4 linked regions of the Arabidopsis thaliana genome follow. The protein of the gene in region 4 interacts with the protein of the main gene of each other region in a pairwise test. Each region holds a gene or a part of one and is shown on either strand. Other genes may lie near its edges.

Region 1 (6,092 bases), on a different chromosome or scaffold from region 4:
CTTACATTTATCAAACACCTCAAAACTATCTTTCCTCACATCCGCCGCGTAAAACCTAACATTTGAAAACGAAGATTAAAAATCGAAAGGGTTCCAAAATCGAAAAGAATAAAGATCCGGTGATTGTGGTTACCGTGTAAGAACGGCGCGAGAGACGAGTTCGATGTTCTTGATCTTGATACCGGCGAAGGAGATGAAGATAAGGATTTGGATTCCGAGAGATTCGGAGACGAAGAGATAAGCGATGATGACGATGGGAAGAGAAAGAAGAAGGATCAATCCACGGAAGAGACTACCTGCTTCAATGGCCACCAGCATGAAGTAAGGGAAAGAGCTTCTTGACAGAAGCAGAGTCCCGTCGAGATCCGCAGCGATCGAATCATACTCTCTGCTTTTACACTCGCTTATCGGAGGAAAACTTCGGCTCTTCTTCGCCGGAGACATCTTTCTTGCGGCGAATACTGGCGATTTAGTAAACAGAGAAAGAGAGATAAAGAGAGATTTGGAAAGAAAGAGAGGGAAGGTCCTTGGGGTTTTAAATGCGCCTTCCAGTGGTTGTTTATCGCTCAACTGACTAAATAACTTTTCAGTCCAATTAATATTAACTATTTACGAAATTATCCTTAAACTTTCAATCTTTACAAAATTAACCCTTCTTATTTCTTTATCTCCATGAGAAATTAAATGTTCACATCACATGATTCGTAACAAAGGTTTCAATTGACACTTATTTTTTTCTAATATATTTAAGTTAATATGAGTGATTATTTGATTAGGGTATTTATTAGATGATGGAATTTGGTGTATACATAAATATAATTTTGGTCACACGCGGTTCAGTTACTTTCTTTTTGTTGATTGACATGAAAGAAAGTAGTTTAGTAGTTCACCTAAATGGAAGGCTGTATAATTAATTGGGTGAGTTATTATAAATTTATAATATGTGGGTTGGCATTGTGTGTATATACTATATAGTATCCAACTATACGTGAAACATTAAAGTCGACGGCCGCCTGACCAAGTTAATTATATGAAAATGACTTTTATATATTGGTAGCATTTAATTTTGATTGCAATATTTACGTATCAAGGAGCCGTCGACAGAGTTATAATGCTAATTGAGTTAATTGACTTTATACTAGGTTTAAATAATTAACTCCTTAATTTATAATAATTAAGGGATTAAGACGGTTTTCTTTTTCTTTGTCCGCGTATCATGGATGGTCACTCAAATGTCAATGGTATATTAATAAAACGGTAAAATAGTTGGGAGTTGGAGAGCCATTGAGCCATATGCATTCATACTTACGGATATGAGTGTAACAGTATTCCCCTAGTATGAGTATAATAACTACTTACACGCTATGGAAATTGAAACTGCATCACGTGAACCTTAGCTTACAAAGAAAAGTGACTTATGCGTGTATACATATATGTGTGTTTGAGATAAATTACCAAAATATGCATGCAATTATGTACAATGAAAATTATGAAATAGAATTTATTTCCAAGAAGATAACAAACTTATCATAAACATTCACTTTGAAGATATGAAACTGAAAAGTAAAAACTAAAAAAAAAAAAAGGTGTGAAGCAGTGGGTAGGTAATCCACTTTGACGAGGTTATTGTAGAATAAGTAAGAATGTTTTATCTCAACTTGGTTGGCTATCTATCGCAACAAATTAAGGTGGAGTGATGCCGTTGATGGACATATTATGGGATACTAGTTGTATCCATAAAGAGTGCGAAAAAGGCCCAATGTAAATGGGCTTAATACCCACTTGGTTAACGTGGCCCATAAAGAGTGCGCAAGAGGCCCAATGTAAATATGGGCTAAATACCACGTAAACTAGTTGAGTCGATGACCCGAGAAACCAAGCCGAAACAATATGGATCTTACTCAATTTGTACCGAACCAAACCAGAAGAAAATCAAATTAACAAATTCCTCTTGAAAATTTCTCGAGTCTAACGACAAAAGCAAAATTAAAATCGTACCAAATCAATCATAATATCAAACTCCATTTAACGATAAAACCAGATCATCCACAGCAAATAAGAAAAAGACAAGTCCATTAATTAAAATAAACACATGATCCAGATCTCTCAAATATTTTCAAGCTCAATTACAAACCAAGATGCAACAATGAAGTTTTATAAAGAAAGAAATCAAATCAGGATCTGGACTTGAATGGAATGGCTCTGATGACAAGTTGGTGGTAAAGAGCCGCAAGAGCTGCTCCAATGAATGGTCCGACCCAGAATATCCACTGCAAACCACAATCAAACCACAATCAAACCAAAGTGACAAAGACATATAGAAAGACAAATCAACCAAATGATGTAATGGGGTACTCACGTGGTCGTCCCAAGCGTGGTCCTTGTTGTAGATGATTGCAGCTCCAAGACTCCTAGCTGGGTTAATTCCTGTTCCGGTGATTGGAATCGTCGCCAAGTGAACCAAGAACACAGCGAATCCGATTGGGAGTGGTGCCAAAATCTGCAAAAAAAATAACCCTAAATTATGAATCTTTTTCTAAACACCCAAAACAATAAATTAAGAGGAATCAAAACAAAATTATACCGGAACGTGGGAGTCACGAGCGCTTCTCTTGGCGTCAGTGGCGGAGAAGACCGTGTAGACAAGGACGAAGGTTCCGATTATCTCAGCACCCAAACCAGAGCCCTTAGTGTAGCCGTGAGCGACTGTGTTGGCTCCTCCGCCGAGAGTTTGGTAAGGATTTGGCTGGAAGCCTTTGACAACTCCGGCGCCGCAGATGGCTCCGAGACATTGCATCACGATGTAAAAGACAGCTCTCGTCAATGACAGCTTACGAGCCAAGAACAGACCAAATGTCACCGCTGGGTTTATGTGCCCACCTGTGAAACACACACACACACACACTCATCAGAATCAACTCTAAATTAAGATCTCTTTGAGAAAAATCGAAAACTAAAAGCAGAGCTACAAGGGTTTGAAGCATGCAACAAAAGACCAATTCTACTTGTATTAAGAAGATAAAAAAAATGGGGTTACCAGAGATTCCAGCAGTACAGTAGACAAGGGCAAAGATCATGCCACCGAAAGCCCAAGCAATGCCTTGGATTCCAACAGAGGCACACATGTTTGGTGCTCTCTTCACTCCCATCACTGTCAATACTGTTATGTATAGAAACAGGAAGGTGGCTATGAACTCGGCGATTCCGGCTCTGTAGAAGGACCACGAACTCAGCTCGCCTGGCTCGAAAAATGGAGCTGGTGGTGGCTCCTTGTAGTCTTTGTCCGTCTGAGCCGATGTACCTATCGGTTGCCTCTCCGGGAACTTGTTAGCTCCCACTCGAACATCCTCTTCTTTCCCTTCCATCTCTATCTAGAAAACGTTCAAGTGTTCTTTGCTTTTTTTCTTCTTTTCTACAATGGGTAATGAGAGTGGCTGAGATAGAGAAAGAATGGTTTTATAGAGGCGAGAGAGAGAGAGAATAGAAAAAGCAAAAAAAACTAACGTCTCGAAACTATTATGATATATTTAAATAATGAGAAATACAGGGAATCATGGATAACGATGATCTTCGTAAAAGCATATTTATTTACGTTAATAATTGTAATAGCCTACTACTTGATGATGTTTAATCATGTAACACAACCCACGCTTATACTAATTCTGTTGCGTTGGCTAACTATTAGTATTATATTCTGAAACTCCTTATAAAGATAGCATGTTTGACCTAATTTATTCTCAAATGCCTTGCTACAGGAGTACTACTCAGTCAGCAGTTAGAAATGTAAAAAAAAATATTACAGTGCCAGAAAACTCACAAAGGACTAACTTTTTGACTAGTCGACGAATTAATAATTTACTTCCGACCGTTGGAGAAGAAAAGGAAAAGAAGTGTGTGGAAAGCGATTGCTTTATGTAAAGTAACATAGTCTCGAACATTGTGCCGGGCCTAGAGTATTTTTAAAATGTTTAATTAAATTACTATGTGTACTACTAGTGACAAAATAATCACAATGATTGTGAATTTGAGGTTTTTCAATTAAACGATATATATTTTAGAAAAAAAGAAAATGAAAATTGGAGATAAGGTTCAATTTTGCGGGGGTTTCCAGCTCAGAAATGGATTTTGCTTTTCTGTGATCACATGTTCGTTTCCCTATTCCCACTTTCCTTTTTCTATCAATCTATTCAAACCTAACAAAAATAAAATTCAAAACTCTGTTGTTGTTATCAATTCACATATTTTTAACGCTATATGAGCCATACTTTACTAGTTAAATGGAGTTTAGTGTTTAGGATTCAAACCCTATTAGTTTTGTTGATGTTGTCTTACCCGAACAATAATTGAATTTATAAACAGATTAACTCTATTGTAGATATCGATTTTTAAAAAACTGAAAAGGGAAACAAATAATCCGAAGCTAAACTATATGATTAAGAAACACCTTTTATTGAACTAGTGGTGGGGTTTGCCATTTTTCGAAACGCAACCCACACACACACATCACAGTCGTCTAGCTGCCCAACCAACAGAATCACGACACGTGGTTGAAGAGGCAAATATGTGTTGGTGGTGTTTACTGGGGCGGTCCCGACCAAAGTCCGTATATGACATCCTTTCTCAGTTGTACAAATCACATTTCATTATAATTCATTTCATCGAATTATCTATCTTTTAAATTTTATCAATATCTTTTTTTGTTAGAGGCGTGGACCGTATGAATGTATGATAGTATAGAAATAGAAATAATAACGTTGGCATTGTTATTTAACAAGCAAACAAATGATTAGGTTGATTGATGAACAAGCAATGACTAGGTTGATGAATTTTAATTGTTACTGACTTTGTCTGTGTACGTAGCTGGTACTTAGTTGGTACATGCCTATCAAAAGAAAAACTAATATTTTGCAACGAAGCAGATCCTTCATTGCTTACATACATGTGGAAAAAGATACGATCAATATTTTAAAAAATCGTGAATTGAATTTTGTTTTATACACACAGACGACAGACAAGCTTCTGACGTGGGCTCAAAACACTAAAACGGCCTCTGAATCAGTCAACACTTTGAGGCATGAGAGATTGATTAAACCACAGACCAAGTCTTTACGACAAATCAACTCGAGCCCAATAGGCTCTAATAAGGCCCAATACGATATAATCGTCTTCTTCCTGTAGAGTCGGGGACCTGGGATTAGTCAATAAATGAGTAGAATTTTTGTAAGGAAGAGAGTAGTTGGTGAGCGTCGCCATTGAAGGGGAAAGCAGCCCAACTTTGCATTGAATGACACTTAAAATCTTTCTCTCAGCAGCTGTCTTCATTTATGATCGATCCTACTTCTTTCTTCTCTCTACCAATTTCAAGATCTGGTCGTCGCTCACAGGAGAAACGTAATGGAAAACAAAGAGACCAAGCAAGAACCAGCAGCAGCAGCTGAGCAAAAGACCGTTCCGTTGATCGAAGATGAGATCGAGAGGAGCAAAGTCGGGATCATGAGAGCTCTCTGCGACCGACAAGATCCTGAAACTAAGGTCCCTATCGATTTCTTTAAGTAAAAAAAGAATTCAACCAGAAAAGTATTGATTTGATAAAAGCCCTAATGATTTGGATTTGCAGGAGGTGGATGATCTGATGATAAGGAGGTTTCTGAGAGCGCGTGACCTGGACATTGAAAAGGCTTCAACGATGTTTCTAAATTACCTGACTTGGAAGAGAAGCATGCTCCCAAAGGGGCACATACCAGAAGCAGAGATTGCAAATGATCTATCGCATAACAAGATGTGTATGCAAGGTCATGACAAGATGGGTCGACCTATCGCTGTTGCCATTGGGAACAGACATAACCCTTCCAAAGGCAACCCTGACGAGTTCAAGCGTTTTGTTGTCTACACGCTCGAGAAGATTTGTGCTAGGTGAATAATAATAATATTACTACATACATTAAGTTAGTGTGGGTATATAAGAAACCATTTATGCTAATGCTCTTTTTTTGTTTGTTTGAATGTTGTCATGTTAGAATGCCGAGAGGTCAAGAGAAATTCGTAGCAATTGGAGATCTGCAAGGCTGGGGATATTCTAATTGTGACATCCG
Region 2 (5,856 bases), on a different chromosome or scaffold from region 4:
GATATAAATTATACCATTTGTCTCCAGCTTCCTAAGCCGGCAATGTACAAACCCTTCCACTTTCGAATTTGTTCGGTTAGAAATAGATTTATATTCCACAATTTCTTGCACCTACGTTGATGCCTATATATATAGACACACTTAAATGTATGTGGAATTTGAAATATATATTGATATAGTAAAATGGGATGTGTTTGCAGCAAGCAATTAGAAGGAAGAAGGCAAGAAGACATTTCGCTTCTTGCTTCTCAAACCTTTTGTAAGTTACGTCTACTTCAATCATCCACCACTTCCTCCTCCTATATATTATATTGCATGGAGAAAGAATATTATTACACGAGCTTGTAGATCAGATAACATCTAAATTGTTTTGGGTTTGCAGTTAGCGAGGCTGAGGTTGAAGTTTTGCATGGATTGTTCATCAAACTCACTTCTTGTCTTAGCAACGACAATCTTTTGACCAAAGTTAGAGTCCAAACTAATTTTTCTTCCACAATGTGAATAATTTTTTTTTGGTCAACAAAATGTGAATAATATAACATCTAAATTTTATACTAGCTAGTTATAGAAAAGTTGTGCTTTTGTCATGTCAAATTTGGTTGGCTTTTCCAGGAAAAATTTCAATTTATCTTGATCAAGAATACCAAAAAGCGCAGTCTTTCTGCAGAACGGGTAATTGAATTTGTTATATTAAGCGAAATAAATAAATAAACTTCGATTGATGTTGTTTCTCTGAAATATGCAGATTTTTGGATTATTCGATATGAGAAACGATGGGGCTATAGATTTTGGAGAGTTTGTACACACACTCAACATTTTTCACCCAAACTCATCACCAAGAGATAAGGCCATATGTATGCTTCATCACTTCTAATGTGTTTATTCATTTATTCCATGTTATTATTATTTTCTATATAGCTAGAGATCAATGTTATTAACTATAACCACAAATACATCTGATCACTTGTTTAAAATTAAACAGTTGCATTTAGATTATACGATACTCGTGAGACTGGATTCATTGAACCGGAGGAGGTACGTATGTAAACTTTGTCTCAAAAAAAAGAAAAAGTCATGATTAATTATATTTGACGGTTTTCCTCGACTTGGAGAAATCTATAGGTGAAAGAGATGATAATAGACGTTCTAGAGGAATCAGAACTTATGCTATCCGAGAGTATCATTGATTCTATCGTGTCTAAGGTGTGTATAACGCTTAAGTTTATGAGCTTGATTTAACATTATAGTGATTTTACTTACTATTTTTGTTTACTTATATTTGGCAAAGACATTTGAAGAGGCCGATTGGAAAAAAGATGGGATAATAGATTTGGAAGAATGGGAGAATTTTGTTGCCACCTATCCTTTGACACTAAAGAACATGACTATCCCTTTCTTGAAGTAATTCGTTTGTTTGTTTTTCCTAACCATTTTCTTAATATTCGCTGATAAATTGCATGTTTTAGATACATCTTTCGTTTTACAAAAAAAGTAATATATATACATCTTTCAAAAACAGCTTTTATATATGTGTGTTTATGCATATATTACTATTATCTTCTTTTATTTTATTTTTCTTGTTTTATAAATCGAGATAATTATTCTAAAATTAACTTTTATTGTACAGGGACATTCCGAGGATTTTCCCAACCTTTCTCCGGTAAAATCAGATGAGGTGTTTGCTAGAGGTTTTTGTTTAAAAATATTTTTATCCGAAAATCACATAGGTAATTTGTTATAAGAAATATAGAAGGTTAATTATTATATAAACATATTAACTATCGAAAGAAATCTTTAATATTTAACGAGGATAGAAAGTAATTGTTTTTAACCACAAAGCTAAAGCTGTGATATGAAAACTTAAAAGCAAAGATCGGTTCGTGAAGACAAAATGGGGTTTTGGAAAAGGAAAAGAGGAAAAAGAAAAAGAACAAACGTGTGAAAATTCGAGAAAAATGGTAACACAAAAAGAAATTGGACATGATATAAGTTGCCAAAACCAAAGAGAAAAAATTGACATGATATACCAATCAAATTTTTGAATCAGGTCAACTAATCAAATTCACAACAATCATCCACAATATTATTTAGATTTGACGCTTTCACTGTTTCACATGAAAATTTTACATTTGACGCGATGACTTGTGGAGTCACGATCATTTTAGTCACTCGTTTTAAACGGATGCTTCATTCAAAAAATGTAACTTATATTCAGAAGACTCCTAACGTCCGATTCAGATTTACAAAAAAACAATATCATTGAATCGGAAAACAGAAAAGCATAGTAATATTCTAAGTATTTAATTATAATCGTGAGGAAATAGTTCCGTAATAATGGGGGAAAAATATATATATGATAAAACCAAAATGAGATTTGCCTGAAGATGCCATATGTCTGATCAAACACTCTGAGCTGTTGTGTCGATGAACTCACCATATGCCAAGATACGCTATTAGCGACAACACATTTGTATTGTCAAATGTCATTAATTAACATCCACAGGTCCAACAACAGAGAAACAAAATAATTATCACAAGTAAAATATAAAATTAGTAATATACTTGTACTTATAATTTTTGGCTTATGCCTTTTAATTTATTTTAACACTAGACTCGACGAAACTCATCACTAACATGACCACAAAAAAAAAAGATTACAATTCTAAAACACAAAGATTAAAAAAGAAAACATAACGAAGTAAAATTAAGACTAGACATCAACTTTACAAGTTGAAGGAGCGAGAAGAGGAACTTGTCCGTTAGAAGATGGATTAAATCTCAACCACACATCACATCTGGCGTAAAATCCATACCGTCCAGTCTTAATCGCACCAGCTTTCCAACGTAGCCTCCCAAAAATCACCACTCTCATCAAAACGACGCCGTAAGCTTCATCATTTTTTAAACCATTAGCTACTTCCGGCGAGACTGGTATACCGTTGCCTCCCATCACCGGAGCTATCACAACCGTAGATTTATGTCCTAAACGAAGCGGTGGTAGTGGAAGCGGCGGTGTTATGATCTGATCTTTGTACGTTACGTACATAGAGAGCTTGTCGTAGTGAATGGAGACTCTCCGGTTAGGGTTTCTTGCTAAAACGCTGAACTGAACGGAGGTTGAGATTAACGGCGGCGCTGTGAAATTCAGGTCGTAGATGGCGGCTCCGACGACGGTGAGACGTGGTTTATGTGGACGGTAGACGAGCCAAAGGATTAAGGCTATGATACCTAGTATGACAAGGATGGTGAAGATCGCGCCGCAGATTGCGCGGCGAGCATCTCCACCGCCTCCTCCGCCTTCTTTAGAGTAAGATTCTGGCGTTGAAGAAGCGGAGGGAGCGTTCTTGTGATCTGCTTTGGCTGCGTGCTCTGCTTTTGCTTCTCCTTCTCCCATGGCTATACTCTACAGATATAAGTGTTAAAGTGTGTATGTATAGGTATGTGTGTGTCTATACGAGAATCAGAGGGTTCGGTGAAGAGTGAAGACTCTAAAGAAGGAGGAGGAGAAGAAAGAAGATAAGTAGATGCAAGGTTTTGTCTCTTTTCTAGTTAATAAGAGTAAACAGTCTTCTAGAGTACAGTTTTATTAATTGTTTATTAACTTAGAAAGCTTGTAGTTGTAATTATGTGTTAAAGCTAATCTTTTTATAAAGTAGCCGTAAATTACTACTGTTTTTACATTGTGATTTTATTTTGTTATAATACTTAATGTAATAATATAAGATAGAGAAGTACTTTCGAAAGACTCCAAATCTCGGTGCAACCGTTCACGTGACGGATCTGATGAGTGATGAATTTTTTAAAAATGAAAAATCCAATGTAACGTGTATACATATGGCTATACATAATCAAATACTTTGTTGTCAATGATTGACTTATTTGGTGACAACTATGGTTTCGTGCAACGTGATAACTATCACTTTTTGGCCGTGTTAATTTTTAAAAAAATTAGAATGAAATTTATCAGGTTACGGCCTGTCAAAGTTAGCAATAACCTAATATCTGTTTGCATGCCAGAATACGGTTATGTAGAAAGAAAATTAAATTATCATATTTCACAATTCTTTATCAACTGTATAAAGCAATTAATAATAAATTAATTAGATACCACATGTGTCATATTTGTTCTAATGTTTAGAAAATAAAAGTACAAGTCTTTTATGTCCACATCTCCAACAATACTTCTGACCAAATTCCATATATTATTAGTAAGCTTCCAAAATAAATAATAATCACATTTAAGAAGAATCTGTTATTTAATCACACTAACTGAGATACCGCACCACCGACACTGTAGTCACCGACAATGCTGTGGATGCTACCTGGGCCTCAATTATAAGCCCATTATAAAATTGGGCCTACACTAAAACTATTGTGTACAGAGAGATATTTGATAATTTGCTGACTGATACAAGTCTCACTTCCAACGGCCGATTTATTAAAAAAAAACTCCGACAAATGATTCGCCGGCCGATCTACGACTTCGCCGCCGTTTTTCGCCACTTAACTTCTCCGTTATCGACATCCTCGCGTTTTCTGTTCTATTCTTCATCTGAACATGAAGCTCGAAAACCGATTGTCTCGAACCCTAAATCCCCAATCGGGTCTCCGACTCGGGTTCAAAAGCTCATAGCTTCGCAATCGGATCCTCTCCTCGCCAAGGAGATTTTCGATTATGCTTCTCAACAGCCCAATTTCCGCCATTCTCGATCTTCTCATCTAATCCTCATTCTCAAACTCGGCCGTGGTAGATATTTCAATCTTATCGACGACGTTCTCGCCAAACACAGATCAAGTGGTTATCCATTAACCGGAGAAATTTTCACTTATCTGATCAAAGTCTACGCAGAAGCAAAGTTACCGGAGAAAGTCTTAAGTACGTTTTACAAAATGCTGGAGTTCAATTTCACGCCGCAGCCAAAACATCTGAATCGGATTCTAGATGTTCTCGTAAGCCATAGAGGTTATCTCCAGAAAGCTTTTGAGCTTTTCAAGAGTTCACGGCTTCATGGAGTAATGCCTAACACGAGAAGTTACAATTTATTGATGCAAGCTTTTTGTTTGAATGATGATTTGAGTATTGCATACCAACTGTTTGGTAAAATGCTTGAGAGAGATGTTGTCCCTGATGTGGATTCTTATAAGATTCTGATACAAGGGTTTTGTAGGAAAGGTCAAGTGAATGGTGCTATGGAATTACTTGATGATATGTTGAATAAAGGATTCGTGCCTGATAGGTTAAGTTACACGACATTGTTGAACAGTTTGTGTAGGAAGACACAGCTTAGAGAGGCTTATAAGCTTCTATGTAGGATGAAGTTAAAAGGTTGTAATCCTGATCTTGTTCATTACAACACGATGATTCTCGGGTTTTGTAGAGAAGATCGTGCGATGGATGCTAGGAAAGTTCTTGATGATATGTTGTCTAACGGTTGCTCGCCTAATTCGGTCTCGTATAGGACTTTGATTGGAGGATTGTGTGATCAAGGAATGTTTGATGAAGGGAAGAAGTATCTAGAAGAGATGATATCCAAAGGGTTTTCTCCTCATTTCTCGGTTTCAAATTGTTTGGTAAAAGGGTTTTGTAGCTTCGGGAAAGTCGAAGAAGCTTGTGATGTTGTAGAGGTTGTGATGAAGAACGGAGAAACATTGCATTCAGACACTTGGGAGATGGTAATTCCATTAATCTGTAATGAAGATGAGTCGGAGAAGATCAAACTGTTTCTTGAAGATGCTGTAAAGGAAGAAATAACCGGTGATACCAGAATCGTTGATGTCGGTATCGGTTTAGGATCTTACCTTTCTAGTAAGCTACAGATGAAACGTAAAAATGCTAGAGAGAGGAGGAGACATTTA
Region 3 (6,906 bases), about 11 Mb from region 4:
TGATTTGTTTATTTAAACAAAAAACGTTTAGTAAGAACAATATTTATTTAAACAAAAAACTTTGTTTTAAAATATTGTTAACAAAATACTTTTATGCTAATTTTAAGGGATTGATGTGAAGTTTGTTTGGATTAAATTTGATTGATAATGTGATTGACAATTTAAATTAAAAATTTAAAGTAAAACTAATTATTTTGAAAAAACGATTTAATGCTAATGGCATTGGGTTGTAAATAAGTCCAACTCGAAGATTTATTTGTTAAAATGGCTGCAAAAATATATATATAGATGATCTAACAGATTTTAACATTGGATGGATTACTTTAAGATGGTTTGATTTGATTGCTGAATTACATTGGAATATGTCACAATAAATTAAATACATAAAATTACAAAATAGAACTTATTAAATAGAAAATATTATGATTATGATTTATTATGTAAACTAGCAAACTAAAATTTCTGCAAATATTTCCCCAAGCTGAACAGCGTGGATCCTATCTAGTATTTATGTATAATACAATAAAAGAACTCCAATTTAACTGTTTTCAATCTTCTACGTACGAGGGTTTCCCGTGGATACCGAATCAAACAAAAATTCACAAATCCAAAATAAAATTACATTAGTAAAATTGATGGTATTATTTTGTTTTACCGAATCAACGTACCAAACTAAATCCAAAATGGAACTCAAATCTTGAGCAATTCAAACGTACAAACCAAAATACACTAAACTGTATATTTTAAATTAAATATAAAATACATTTAAATTGTATTTATATACCCAAAATTTTCAGAATATATGTAACTTTATATTTTTGTAACAGTTTTCAATTCAAAATCTACCCGTACGGTACCTATACCAAAATAAAATTACATTTGACAATTCAAAATTTTGGAGTTTAAGACATGTTTCCTAAAAAGCTTAAACCTAAAAACCCCAAACTCAAAGAAGTTAAACCATATAACTTAACTGAAAAAAGCATGTCCAGACCTATTTCTCGCAACAATAATCAGGTACATTGGACTTCTACACCACGATAGAAGCTCGAACAGAATCCACAATCTCCTTCTTGAGCGACATAAGAAAAGATTCTTTGGAAGCTTTTATTATGGTGTAGAAGTCACATTCTTGTGTTTTATTTTGTTGCCCTAAGCTCTAGTACTGTGTAACTGTAAATGTTGCTCTCTTTGGATAGATCAGATCTAAACTTTGAATGAAATTCATTAGTTTTCTAATATATTAATATAAGTAAACGACTAGATCTAATTTTAACCTTGCTTTTGGAGTGAATATATAAGCTTGTTTCCAGAATAGTGAGTCGATTTCGAAATATTAGACAAGATTTAAATGATATCATAAATATTCTTATAACATCATAACTTAAGGTCAACGAGCCAATAAAATGAAAACAAAACCAAACATCGCACTCCAAATAACAAAATAAACATACATAATTATTTCTCGTCATGGCTAACCTCAGCCTCACCAGAGAGTTCTTCAAGGGACTTGCCTTTGGGCTCTGGGACAAGGAAGGTGAAGAGCATACCGATAAAGTTAAGAACACCAAGCATGATCAATGAGTTCTTAACTCCGATGCCTGGTGGGTATCCTGCGTCTACCTTGGCCTTGTCTTGTGATTGAGCCGCATATAGGAACCCAAAGGCTCCAACAATGGCTCCAGCCTTACCAGCCGCGGCTGATATTCCATGACATGTAGACCTTAGCCTGGCCGGGAATATCTCAGCAGGGACAATAAAAGTGGTTGCATTTGGACCAAAATTGGCGAAGAAGAAAGTAAGAGAGTACATAACCACAAATCCGATACGGTTTTCTGGTTTGATCCAGTGGTTGTAAGGGAAGGCAATGGCAAACATAAACACGGTCATCATGAAAAATCCATTTAGTTGGATCTTAAACCTTCCAATGGTATCAATAAACGCAACTGTGAACCAGTAGCCTGGGACTGTACTGCAAAGGGCGATAAGAGTCTGAGCCCTAGCAATCCTGAAAACCTCATGGGTGGCGTTCATGGTGGCTGCCTTTGGGATCCATCCGATGGCCGAGAAAATATCCTTCTGGAACAAGTTTTGGCTGTAGAAGGCAATGTCAAGCAAAAACCATGTGGAGGTAGTTCCAAGGAGATGAAGCCCATGGCGTCTAAGGAATTCCTTGGAGAACAAGCCATAGTTTTGTTTGGGGTCTTTGACGTCATCCTCCACCCTTTCCTCAAGCTCGATATCTGTTTGTAAGACCTTGGACATGTCGGCTGTGGCTTGTTTGATGTTCTTGGCAACCAAAGCGGTGTAACGGGCAGTTTCAGGCATCTTCATACGCCAGTAGTAAGTCAAAGCTGCGGGTAAAGCACCAAACATGACGATGATTCGCCAAATGTAGTCAACTTGAGGAGGCGTTGAGAGGGCCCTGTTTACTGCATATGTTGGAGCTGGGAACTTTTTGTCGAATATAGAAGATACTGCGAGTGCCACGAAACCTCCAGCCAAGATACCGACACCTTGCATGGCGAAGACAGCTGCGATGAAAGCCCCACGGGTCTTCTTGTTTGCGTATTCAGACATGATGGTGGCAGAAAGTGGGTAGTCACCTCCAATACCAAATCCCAACCAAAACCTACGTAATGGTTTATATATAAAAAAACTTTCTCAAAGAAAAATACCTAAATCAGTTCGAAGCGTGACTAACTTTTAAAACTTGCATTCGTTATTAGATTATTGGTTAATCATTGTGTATATATAATATTGTAATTGGATGAAAATTGTACCTGAAGAAGCAAAGGGTGGTCATGACACCCTTGGCTTCGTGGCCAAAAGAGAGACCAGAAGCGACAGAGCACAAGATCATCATTACCAAAGTGAGACCGTACACTTTTTTCCGTCCGAGTTTGTCACCGAGCCAACCGAAGAAGAGTTGACCAGAAAGGGTTCCACAAAGGGCCACACCGTTGACCGCGGCCGCAACATGAGGGGGAAGTGAGCCAGGCTTCGCTGACTCCGGATTGAAATAGTAGATGCGGCCAAGGAGTTTCGTCACCAAGGACACGCAAAAAAGATCGTAGGCATCGGTAAAGAAACCCATACCGGCGATGACAATCGCCGTGAAATGATAAAGTTGCGTCTTCGCAACATCGAGTGCCTTTAGCACTCCTAGTTGTTGTTCGGCCATTTCCTAGAGCTCTATAATCATACAACGCAAAGAATCCAAGATTTCATGTCATTATTTCTCGCTTATGAAATATTTTCATTTGGAGACTTAAAAAATATCATGGAACAGAGCATTTGACCTCTCAATGGCCAAAATTTTGAAACAAAACTTGATATCTTTGGAATTATGAACAAGAAAACTCAACTTGAAATGGTATATACACAAATTAAATATAGACGACAAAGGAAAGTAATATTACCTTAATCAGCTTGGCAGGAGAAATTAAGAACTTCTCTGGAGAGTTGAGGAGAGACTATATGTGGTCATTAGAAATGAACAATTATGCTGGCCATTTATAGAGAAGAAGAAAGAGAAGCACGTTAAATGTAATAAAAAAATGCTTTTTGAAAAGGAAAGATATGTAAGCAACGTGATCGCCTCTTTCTTCATAGTTATTATTTATTTTGTAATTTCATTTTGGATTTTAGAATTTTAGTCATCAATACTCCCTCCGTATGTTTATAGTTGATGTTTAAGATTTTTGAACACCATTTGTTTCTGAAGTAAAATATTATTTACAGTCTATTTTATATTGAAAAGTATAAAACATCATCTAAGCTGGACGATACGCCTTCCAGAATATGAACACCTTATACAATAAATCTCTCTAGGATACGTGAGATGGGATGATTTTTTTATTGTATGATAGTTACGGATTCTGATTATTATTTTGAAGCAGGAAACGAAGTTTTAGCAAAAATTTCTGTTTAACCATCTCAATTACTATATGGAGACAGATTGATATATGAGCATTACTATAGATATGCATTCCATGTAAATTTCTATAAATAGAAGTAGCTAATTTAGACGTTGTACACACACAAAAAAAGAATAAAATAAAATCAAAAAGAAGTAGTGTAGACACGAATTCAGTTTGTAGTTAATCTTGTTGGCATTACTTGTAATCGTTGACCAGTTATATATATTTATGTTTGATTCCAACTTTGCAATTATATTATTCGCAATATAAAATGCATTTCTAAAATTAAATAAGGAGAGTTGCAAGCTCTAATCATTTATTTATTGTTTCGTGTAAATCTGAACTACAAGTTATTTTAGAGCCAATATAAGTCGAAAGGTTTTAAATTTCTCCATCTTCCTCGTTTTCTTTGTTTTGTTTTTTGCAGTCGAGTTATTCAACTCTAATAGTTGACATTTGAGGAGTGACAATCAGGATACATATAGTCATGAAGATTAATTATCATTTAGCAAAGTCAAAATCATTATTTTAAAAAAGCATATTCGAAAAACATAGGATATTCGCGAGAACATAAGCATATAAATTCATTTTAACAGATAATTCATGCCTTAGTGGACTTAGTTGCCATTACATATACATAAATAAGGATTTAATATCAACCAATCCAGCTCAGACCATATATATATATAAATGTGAGGATTGTATTTGTTTTAAATGACGGGTTTTCTGGACTTCGATATGTACACGTTAATGTTTTAAATGGTTTGAATGTTTTGTTGTTATACGAGAGGTATTACATGCATAAATTAAATATAACCATAATAACAACAAAGATTAGGAATTTGATAGTAGCTGTGTAGTAGAGATAAGCAGTCAAATAAATATCATAAATGACCACTAAATATCGATTGATTACATTTTGTCACACAAAAAAATAAATGTAGAGATCCACCATTACGAACATGAAATATCACATTACGCATCGCAAAAATAAAGTAAATCGTAATAGAAGATGTAATTCATCGAACCAATTAAGAATTTGAAAATATTATGGCGTAATCATTTCTCAACCTCAGCCTCACCGGAGAGCTCTTCAAGGGACTTGCCCTTGGGCATTCCTATTATTTACAAGGCTACAAGCAAAGAAAAAGAAAAGGCCACTTAACACATGCTTATAGTAAAAAAAAAAGAGAGGATATTTTACACATGTTCATAATATAAAAAAAGCCTCTTTACACATGTTCATAGTATAAAAAAGTGTGATCAAACAAAATATAAAATTGGTTATGTTTAAAAAAAGCACTAAAAGTATTAAAGCATCAAAGATCAATGCAATTTTTATATATGATATTCCTTGCATTTATATATGTACGTAGACTCATCCATCAAGTTTTTTTTAGTCAAATTTCTATCATATCCTTCATATGTTGTTTTTATGAAGAAACAATGATTAAGAAGTAAAGAAAAAAAACTTATCAGAATAAAACATGAATTTGTTACAGTTAAACCACTAATGAATTATAGAATAAGTATGAGATACAGAGACAAAATAGACAAAATGGATGGATTTGAACTAAAAAGCTGACAGTTTAAGGACCAATAAACCACACAATGCTAGAGGAAGAAAAGGAACCAAAAGATTAATTGCAATTGAGGTTAATTATTTATAATTTAGTAACTAATTTTTTTTTGACAAAAACGGAAGAAGAAAAACTGTAATAATATCGGCATTTGGGAGATTCGAACTTAAGAAGTTAAACAAAACAAGGACCAAGTTTTCCCTGACGCGAACATTGGACCATAGAACAACTTCAGTATTTGGAGGCCGAAAATGTAATTATTGAATAATCGGCTGCAAGCATGGGCTTGGCCCGCTTGTGCTCATGGCCGGCTCTGCCCTTGGGCTAAGGAACAAGGAAGGTGAAGAGAATACCGACAAAGTTAATGACACCAAGCATGACCAGTGAGTTCTTGACTCCAAAGCCATGTGGGTATCCTTCGTCCGTCTTGGTCATCTCTTGCGGCTCGCATATAGGAACCCGAAACGTCTGACTATGTTATATAGGGGTTCAAGTGCAACGTCTATATGCTAAAATAAAGAAAGAAATCGCAACAATAAATGAAAATATGGCCGTTGAAAATTGAATGAGAGAATCGGCCATACTAGGAAAGTTGTGATGTGTCTTGAGTCTTGATAACTTAGGCATCATTAATTGTAGGAATCTTCAAGACCCGCAAAAGATGATCAGAATATAGTCGTTGTGATATGATCTCATTCGGCTCTGGAAAAAGAAAGTTTTGGCTCTGTGGGTTCACATAAGGAAAAATGCACCAAGGATTAGTGTGAATGGTTCTGGGTGGTGTATAGGATGTCCAGGCTTCCATATGTGGCTCTGGAATGCACAAAAGGGAAGGAAAGGATAGCTTTCCTTAGTTTGCACAAGCCCTAGGTTTGCTTGACACTGCCCTAGGTTTTGTAGTCGTTCATGTGCCTACAGTTTGGTTATGATCGATTAAATCAATATCAATATTCATAATATGCTATTAAAGTCATATTCAGTGAACTTGGACGTCCCTAGACTTACTCGCCTAAGCTATCAAGACTTAAGAGAATTAAGACTTTCCTATTTCGGCGATGGACCACCATTTGATGTCCAATGTCTCTTCCTTTTTGTTTTTTTGCGAATTTTCTTACTTTCTTATTTGGCCATTAACCATCATCACGTAAAAGGGCACCAAACAACGTCATTGCATCCGGAAATATGTTTGAGTTCTATGGTCTTGTTTACCGGGCAATGATGTCTTGGATCTCGAGAGATTAGCTTTCTTCATGAGAGAAAATGGTAGATGTTACTTTCGGGTTGGCCGTGGGCATCTTTAATAAATTTCATTTGCATGTGTATCAGAAGAAGGTGATTCTCATTTCTCGTAAGGGTTAAAAATAGTTGCTTTTGGTTTGATAGTTTTCGCTATCTTTTCTTAG
Region 4 (4,953 bases):
TACCCTCAGGCATTGGCCGCGAAGAGATGGTACTCAACGCAAGCAACTCTCCCTGACGGAAAGTTCTTCGTGATTGGTGGAAGAGACGCCTTGAACTACGAATACATTCCTGAGGAGGGACAAAACAACAGGAAGCTCTTTGACTCATTGCTCCTCAGGCAAACAGACGACCCGGAAGAAAACAACCTTTACCCTTTCGTCTGGCTTAACACCGACGGTAACCTCTTCATTTTCGCTAACAACCGATCCATCCTTCTAAGCCCCAAAACAAACCAAGTCATCAAGGAGTTCCCTCAGCTCCCAGGTGGTGCCCGTAACTACCCGGGATCAGGTTCTTCCGCACTCCTCCCCATCCAACTTTACGTGAAAAACCCCAAGGTCATCCCAGCCGAGGTTCTCGTCTGTGGTGGTTCCAAACAAGACGCGTATTACAAGGCTGGTAAAAAAATATACGAACCAGCACTACAAGACTGCGCCAGGATAAGGATCAACAGCGCAAAGCCACGATGGAAGACGGAGATGATGCCAACCCCACGAATCATGAGTGATACTGTCATCCTCCCTAACGGAGACATCCTTCTAGTCAACGGAGCTAAACGTGGTTGTTCAGGCTGGGGATATGGTAAAGACCCTGCCTTTGCTCCCCTCTTGTACAAGCCCCATGCTGCACGTGGCAAGCGTTTCAGACAGCTCAAGCCCACCACCATCCCACGTATGTACCACTCCAGCGCCATCATTCTTCCAGACGGTAAGGTTCTTGTCGGTGGCAGCAACACCAACGACGGTTACAAGTACAACGTTGAGTTCCCAACGGAGCTTCGCGTTGAGAAATTCTCCCCACCTTACCTCGACCCGGCTCTAGCCAACATAAGGCCAAAGATCGTCACCACCGGCACCCCAAAACAGGTCAAATACGGACAATTCTTCAACGTGAAGGTCGACCTTAAAGAAAAGGGAGCAACCAAGGGAAATCTCAAGGTTACCATGTTAGCCCCTGCCTTCACAACACACAGTATCTCAATGAACATGAGGATGCTCATCTTGGGTGTCAATAATGTCAAACCTGCTGGTGCCGGTTACGATATCCAGGCCGTTGCACCACCAAATGGAAACATCGCTCCACCGGGTTACTATCTTATCTTTGCCATCTACAAAGGTGTTCCCAGCACTGGAGAATGGATTCAGGTCGTCTAATGACGATAATTTTTACCCATTTTGTCTTATGACCGTAACATCTTAATATAAAACAATCACATAATATCAGTTTTTTTTTCCTTCTATATATATTGTTTATGCCACCATTAATGGATCCAAATTACTTGTGTTTTCTTTCACTTCTATAAACTTTTCCGTTCATGTAAACCTTTTCGGTGAGTTTTTATGACTAAATTTTGTATTGGAGAAATTCTTTTATTATTACTTTTGGCTCTATTCTTTCTTCACTAGTTCGGTTTTGCGTATAAATCATTCGATGCGTTCATTGCAAGTCACTGTTTGTTTCATTGACTAGTAATGTTAATTACCTTCGATAATATTGCAGAGAGTTAGCTAAAATTCTCAAAAGATGGTACACAAATAGTTCTTTCGCAAAATAGATCTCACAGAAACAGAGTCACGGTTTTACAAAATTCGAATTTCACAGAACACAAAGCCAAATTCCAAATACAATAAAGCTCGTACCTAACAAAGCAAGTCCGATTTGAGTTTCTTCCCCTAAAAGGATCCCAAAAGCGGCGGTTGCGGCAAAGGTTGTGGCGTTAGTCACCGGAACGGCAAGAGAGATGGGAGCGTGACTGAGAAGGGCGAAGAATGTGGCGGAGGCGGAGAGGTTTATGAGGAAAGGAATTGAGTATTGCCAGAAGAGGAGGAGATTGATCCAGTCGCGGAGAGCAATCATGATTTTGCGGCGGATCTGAAGAGGAGGAGAATGAGATTCTGTTGTCGAAGAAGACTTTGTTTTATCCCAGGCAAGAGCGCCACGACGGATCAGAGCATTGGTGGCTCCCCATACGAGCCCTACCGCCACCATCTTATCCATGTCTTCCTTCATCGCCGGTGGCTGATCCCGATTTGCCTTTTCCGTTGTTCTGTGTTTTAACCACTAAATGTTGAGTAAAGGAGATCAAAAAGAAGAATTATTTGGATATCCAGAACCGACCCGAACCCGAAAGGTACCGAACTAAACCCGATCCGAAAAATTTAAAAATCCAAATAACGGACCCGAATACCTGAATAGTCCGGATGGTAAACACAGATCAATGGTATTATCACAAACCACTAAATTACATGTCGTCATCAAATAATGTTTCATTACAATACTACTACACTACTAGTCATTATCAATGAGCTTCAAAATCCATTAGGAAACAATGTTGTAGATTAGACGTTACAATACAAAACACCAAAGAACAAAAATACCAAAATATTGTTACACACTGAATCACACTTCCTTCTTAGAAAAAACAACAGGAAGCAATAGTCAAAACAAGCAACAATCATGATCAAACACCAAGTCTCATGTCCAAATCCTAAAACCAATGCCTGCATTGTTATATATGTACATTCTCACACACTTTAACCTTCTTCTATTCTCTCTCTCTCACTCTCTTTGTGTTTTTCTTCTTCTATGCCCTGTTCTATTACCTTCTCTTTTCACTATCAGTGTCTGTCACTAGGGCTTCTCATGTTCTCTAACTTTGCTAGATATGAAAATTTCTTCGGTAGAGCTCTTGGAGACTTCATCATGGGCTTCTCCTTCTCCTGCTCAACTTTGTGGAAGAATTCTATATCACTCATTGAACTATGCTTCTTAGTATCAGATGACAATCTCCACCCTATGAAGTCTGATAGTTTCCTCGAGTTTGGTGTTTCCGCTGCAACCACCTTTTCAGTTTCCTCGTATTCTGATTCTGCCTCGCTTTCTGATCTTGTCTCTGCCTCTCCCATCAACTGTCTTTGAACTAGCCGATCGGCTTCAAGAACATCCTCTATTCTTGACATTATCTTTGAAGCAAGACTCTCTAGTACCCTTGAATAGCTCTCCAAAATCGCCTGTCCAACATCCTGTAAGATCAAATCACAACAAACTCTTACTCAGTCTCACTACATTTTTGTTGATGTTTGTTTAGTCTTTGTTATGTTATGTTACCTTGTTGTTTTTAATCTTGGAGACTTCAAGGGAGGATTGTGGGATCCCAGGAAATTGTTGTTTGAGCATAACCAAAATGGTCTCAGCTCGGACTTCGAAAAGCTCCCTCTTCTCTAAGCTAACAGTGGATCCCCACTGAGATTTCCCGTCTTTCTCTTTCTGGCACATCTTCCTCTTCCAGATCACCATGGAAGCTTCAATCCTGTTCTTTAGATCAAGTACTTTGTGTTCCGTTGACAAATCCAAGAAAGAGACAAAGTAGTCAGGATCAAAGCTCTCCTCTGTTATGCTCTTGTAAAGAAAATCTCCCAAGCTTGTCTTCCCATTCTACATAACCAACAGCCTCATCAGCTTCCTAGCTTAGTGGAAATTGTAAAGAAACAGAACACTTTTGAAGAAGAAGTAAGTAACCTTTGGAAGGGAATCAATGTAGTTTTCAGGAACGTGCATTTCAGACAATACATGAGCATTGATGGCCGTGGCGGCTTTAAGGACTTGAGCCACAGAATCTTTCTGATTCTGCAACCATCTACGTGATTCCTCAGACAAGCCATCTGTTGGAACCTTAACAACTGGTAACCACCAGTTCTCATCCCTCCTCCAATCTCCATTGTGATCTGCATCCTCCATATCTCTTGGCACATACCAAAAGTCTTTCTGATCCTTGAAGTTGTCCAAAGTTTCCTGCCAAATGAGTAATTGCATTAGTATGATAAATGGTCACAACTCATCTATTTTTGTTTGTTATATATATATATCATGATCATTTTATAATACATGCACTCCTATATGAAATTAATTAATGAGATGGTACTCTTGGTGTTATGACGTTTTCAGTTATATTTATCTTTATAATTTGCAAAGATGACTATGACTTGTAGTATATATAGTAGTTTGTCCTAGTGTCATGGATATTGTTGCAAACAAAATATTTTTGAAACGATGTGGTGTTTGATATAATATAATGGTTTAATTTTTCCCAAACGTTGAAACCGCGGTTGAAACAATCAAGTAGTAATTAAACTCACGAGAAGAACCGAGTCAAGTTTGCGTAAAGCTGGAATGTTCGTCAGCAAATCATCTCTTTGTTTTGTAACCATGATCTACAAAGGAGAAAATTAGGGTTAATAAGAAAAATCGTCACTAGTAGACTAGTAGTTGTTATATATGTACGTAATTAATGACTAACAGTTGCATGCATTCACCTCAGTGAATTGGCCATTTTTACCCATTTGTCTAGAAGGAACAAACTGGACAATGTGATCAATCACAGATAATAACCAACCCATTTCTTTCCTCCAATTCTCTTTTGTCTCCGGATACATAGGCTGCAATTTCATCTGCTCTCCAAACATCGAATCTGCATGCCAATACCAAAGCCACATTAATTAGTTTGTGACTTATTTTAACCATTCAAATCGTTATTAGACATTTAATGTTTTAATCATATTAGTAGTGTTAAAGGTTTACCAGCGAGTTTGGTGATGGCGTTTGACAAAGCTAACGCAGAGGTCTCCCCTGTCCCACCGCCTGACATGTCCTCTCCAAGAAGCAGTTTTGCGAATCTTTCCTTCATCACTTCCATGTCTGAAACAGATATCAATACAAAGATTATGTAAGGAATCCAACATAGAATAATATTAATTAAATAGTTATCAAAAATATATAAATATTAGTTAAAGAACTCATCTTTATACAACGATATTGGTAATTCTACTCTTACCAATTGATTTTCAGATCCAACCCATGCATCTTACACAAATGCAATCTAAATGCAATTCATTATGCTATATACAATACATCTA

Evidence for each region.
Region 1: the proteins of AT5G19570 (region 4) and PIP1C interact in a protein complementation assay, tested with the Arabidopsis thaliana proteins (one large-scale study listed by BioGRID).
Region 2: the proteins of AT5G19570 (region 4) and AT4G01410 interact in a protein complementation assay, tested with the Arabidopsis thaliana proteins (one large-scale study listed by BioGRID).
Region 3: the proteins of AT5G19570 (region 4) and PHT1;1 interact in a protein complementation assay, tested with the Arabidopsis thaliana proteins (one large-scale study listed by BioGRID).

The regions. Positions count from the first base shown.
Region 1 is NC_003070.9:223,812-229,903, forward strand, and holds PIP1C (plasma membrane intrinsic protein 1C), read right to left. Parts: upstream 3,733-6,092; 5' UTR 3,366-3,732; coding exon 3,038-3,365; intron 2,881-3,037; coding exon 2,585-2,880; intron 2,501-2,584; coding exon 2,360-2,500; intron 2,271-2,359; coding exon 2,175-2,270; 3' UTR 1,854-2,174; downstream 1-1,853. Other genes in the region: GPAT4 (glycerol-3-phosphate acyltransferase 4), read right to left, coding at 1-55, 134-444; AT1G01630 (Sec14p-like phosphatidylinositol transfer family protein), read left to right, coding at 5,395-5,532, 5,618-5,913, 6,018-6,092. UniProt on the Arabidopsis thaliana protein: Water channel required to facilitate the transport of water across cell membrane. Its function is impaired by Hg(2+).
Region 2 is NC_003075.7:575,846-581,701, reverse strand, and holds AT4G01410 (Late embryogenesis abundant (LEA) hydroxyproline-rich glycoprotein family), read right to left. Parts: upstream 3,675-5,856; 5' UTR 3,395-3,674; coding exon 2,711-3,394; 3' UTR 2,415-2,710; downstream 1-2,414. Other genes in the region: CBL5 (calcineurin B-like protein 5), read left to right, coding at 184-259, 383-465, 613-672, 746-854, 983-1,035, 1,123-1,203, 1,289-1,401, 1,628-1,664; AT4G01400 (oligomeric golgi complex subunit-like protein), read left to right, coding at 4,459-5,856.
Region 3 is NC_003076.8:17,398,460-17,405,365, forward strand, and holds PHT1;1 (phosphate transporter 1;1), read right to left. Parts: upstream 3,700-6,906; 5' UTR 3,423-3,699; intron 3,196-3,422; 5' UTR 3,185-3,195; coding exon 2,784-3,184; intron 2,633-2,783; coding exon 1,459-2,632; 3' UTR 1,310-1,458; downstream 1-1,309. UniProt on the Arabidopsis thaliana protein: High-affinity transporter for external inorganic phosphate. Acts as a H(+):phosphate symporter in both low- and high-Pi conditions. Confers sensitivity to arsenate.
Region 4 is NC_003076.8:6,603,836-6,608,788, reverse strand, and holds AT5G19570 (uncharacterized protein), read right to left. Parts: upstream 2,226-4,953; 5' UTR 2,051-2,225; coding exon 1,637-2,050; 3' UTR 1,468-1,636; downstream 1-1,467. Other genes in the region: AT5G19580 (glyoxal oxidase-related protein), read left to right, coding at 1-1,194; ROPGEF10 (ROP uanine nucleotide exchange factor 10), read right to left, coding at 2,659-3,063, 3,149-3,475, 3,560-3,832, 4,177-4,251, 4,354-4,508, 4,619-4,735.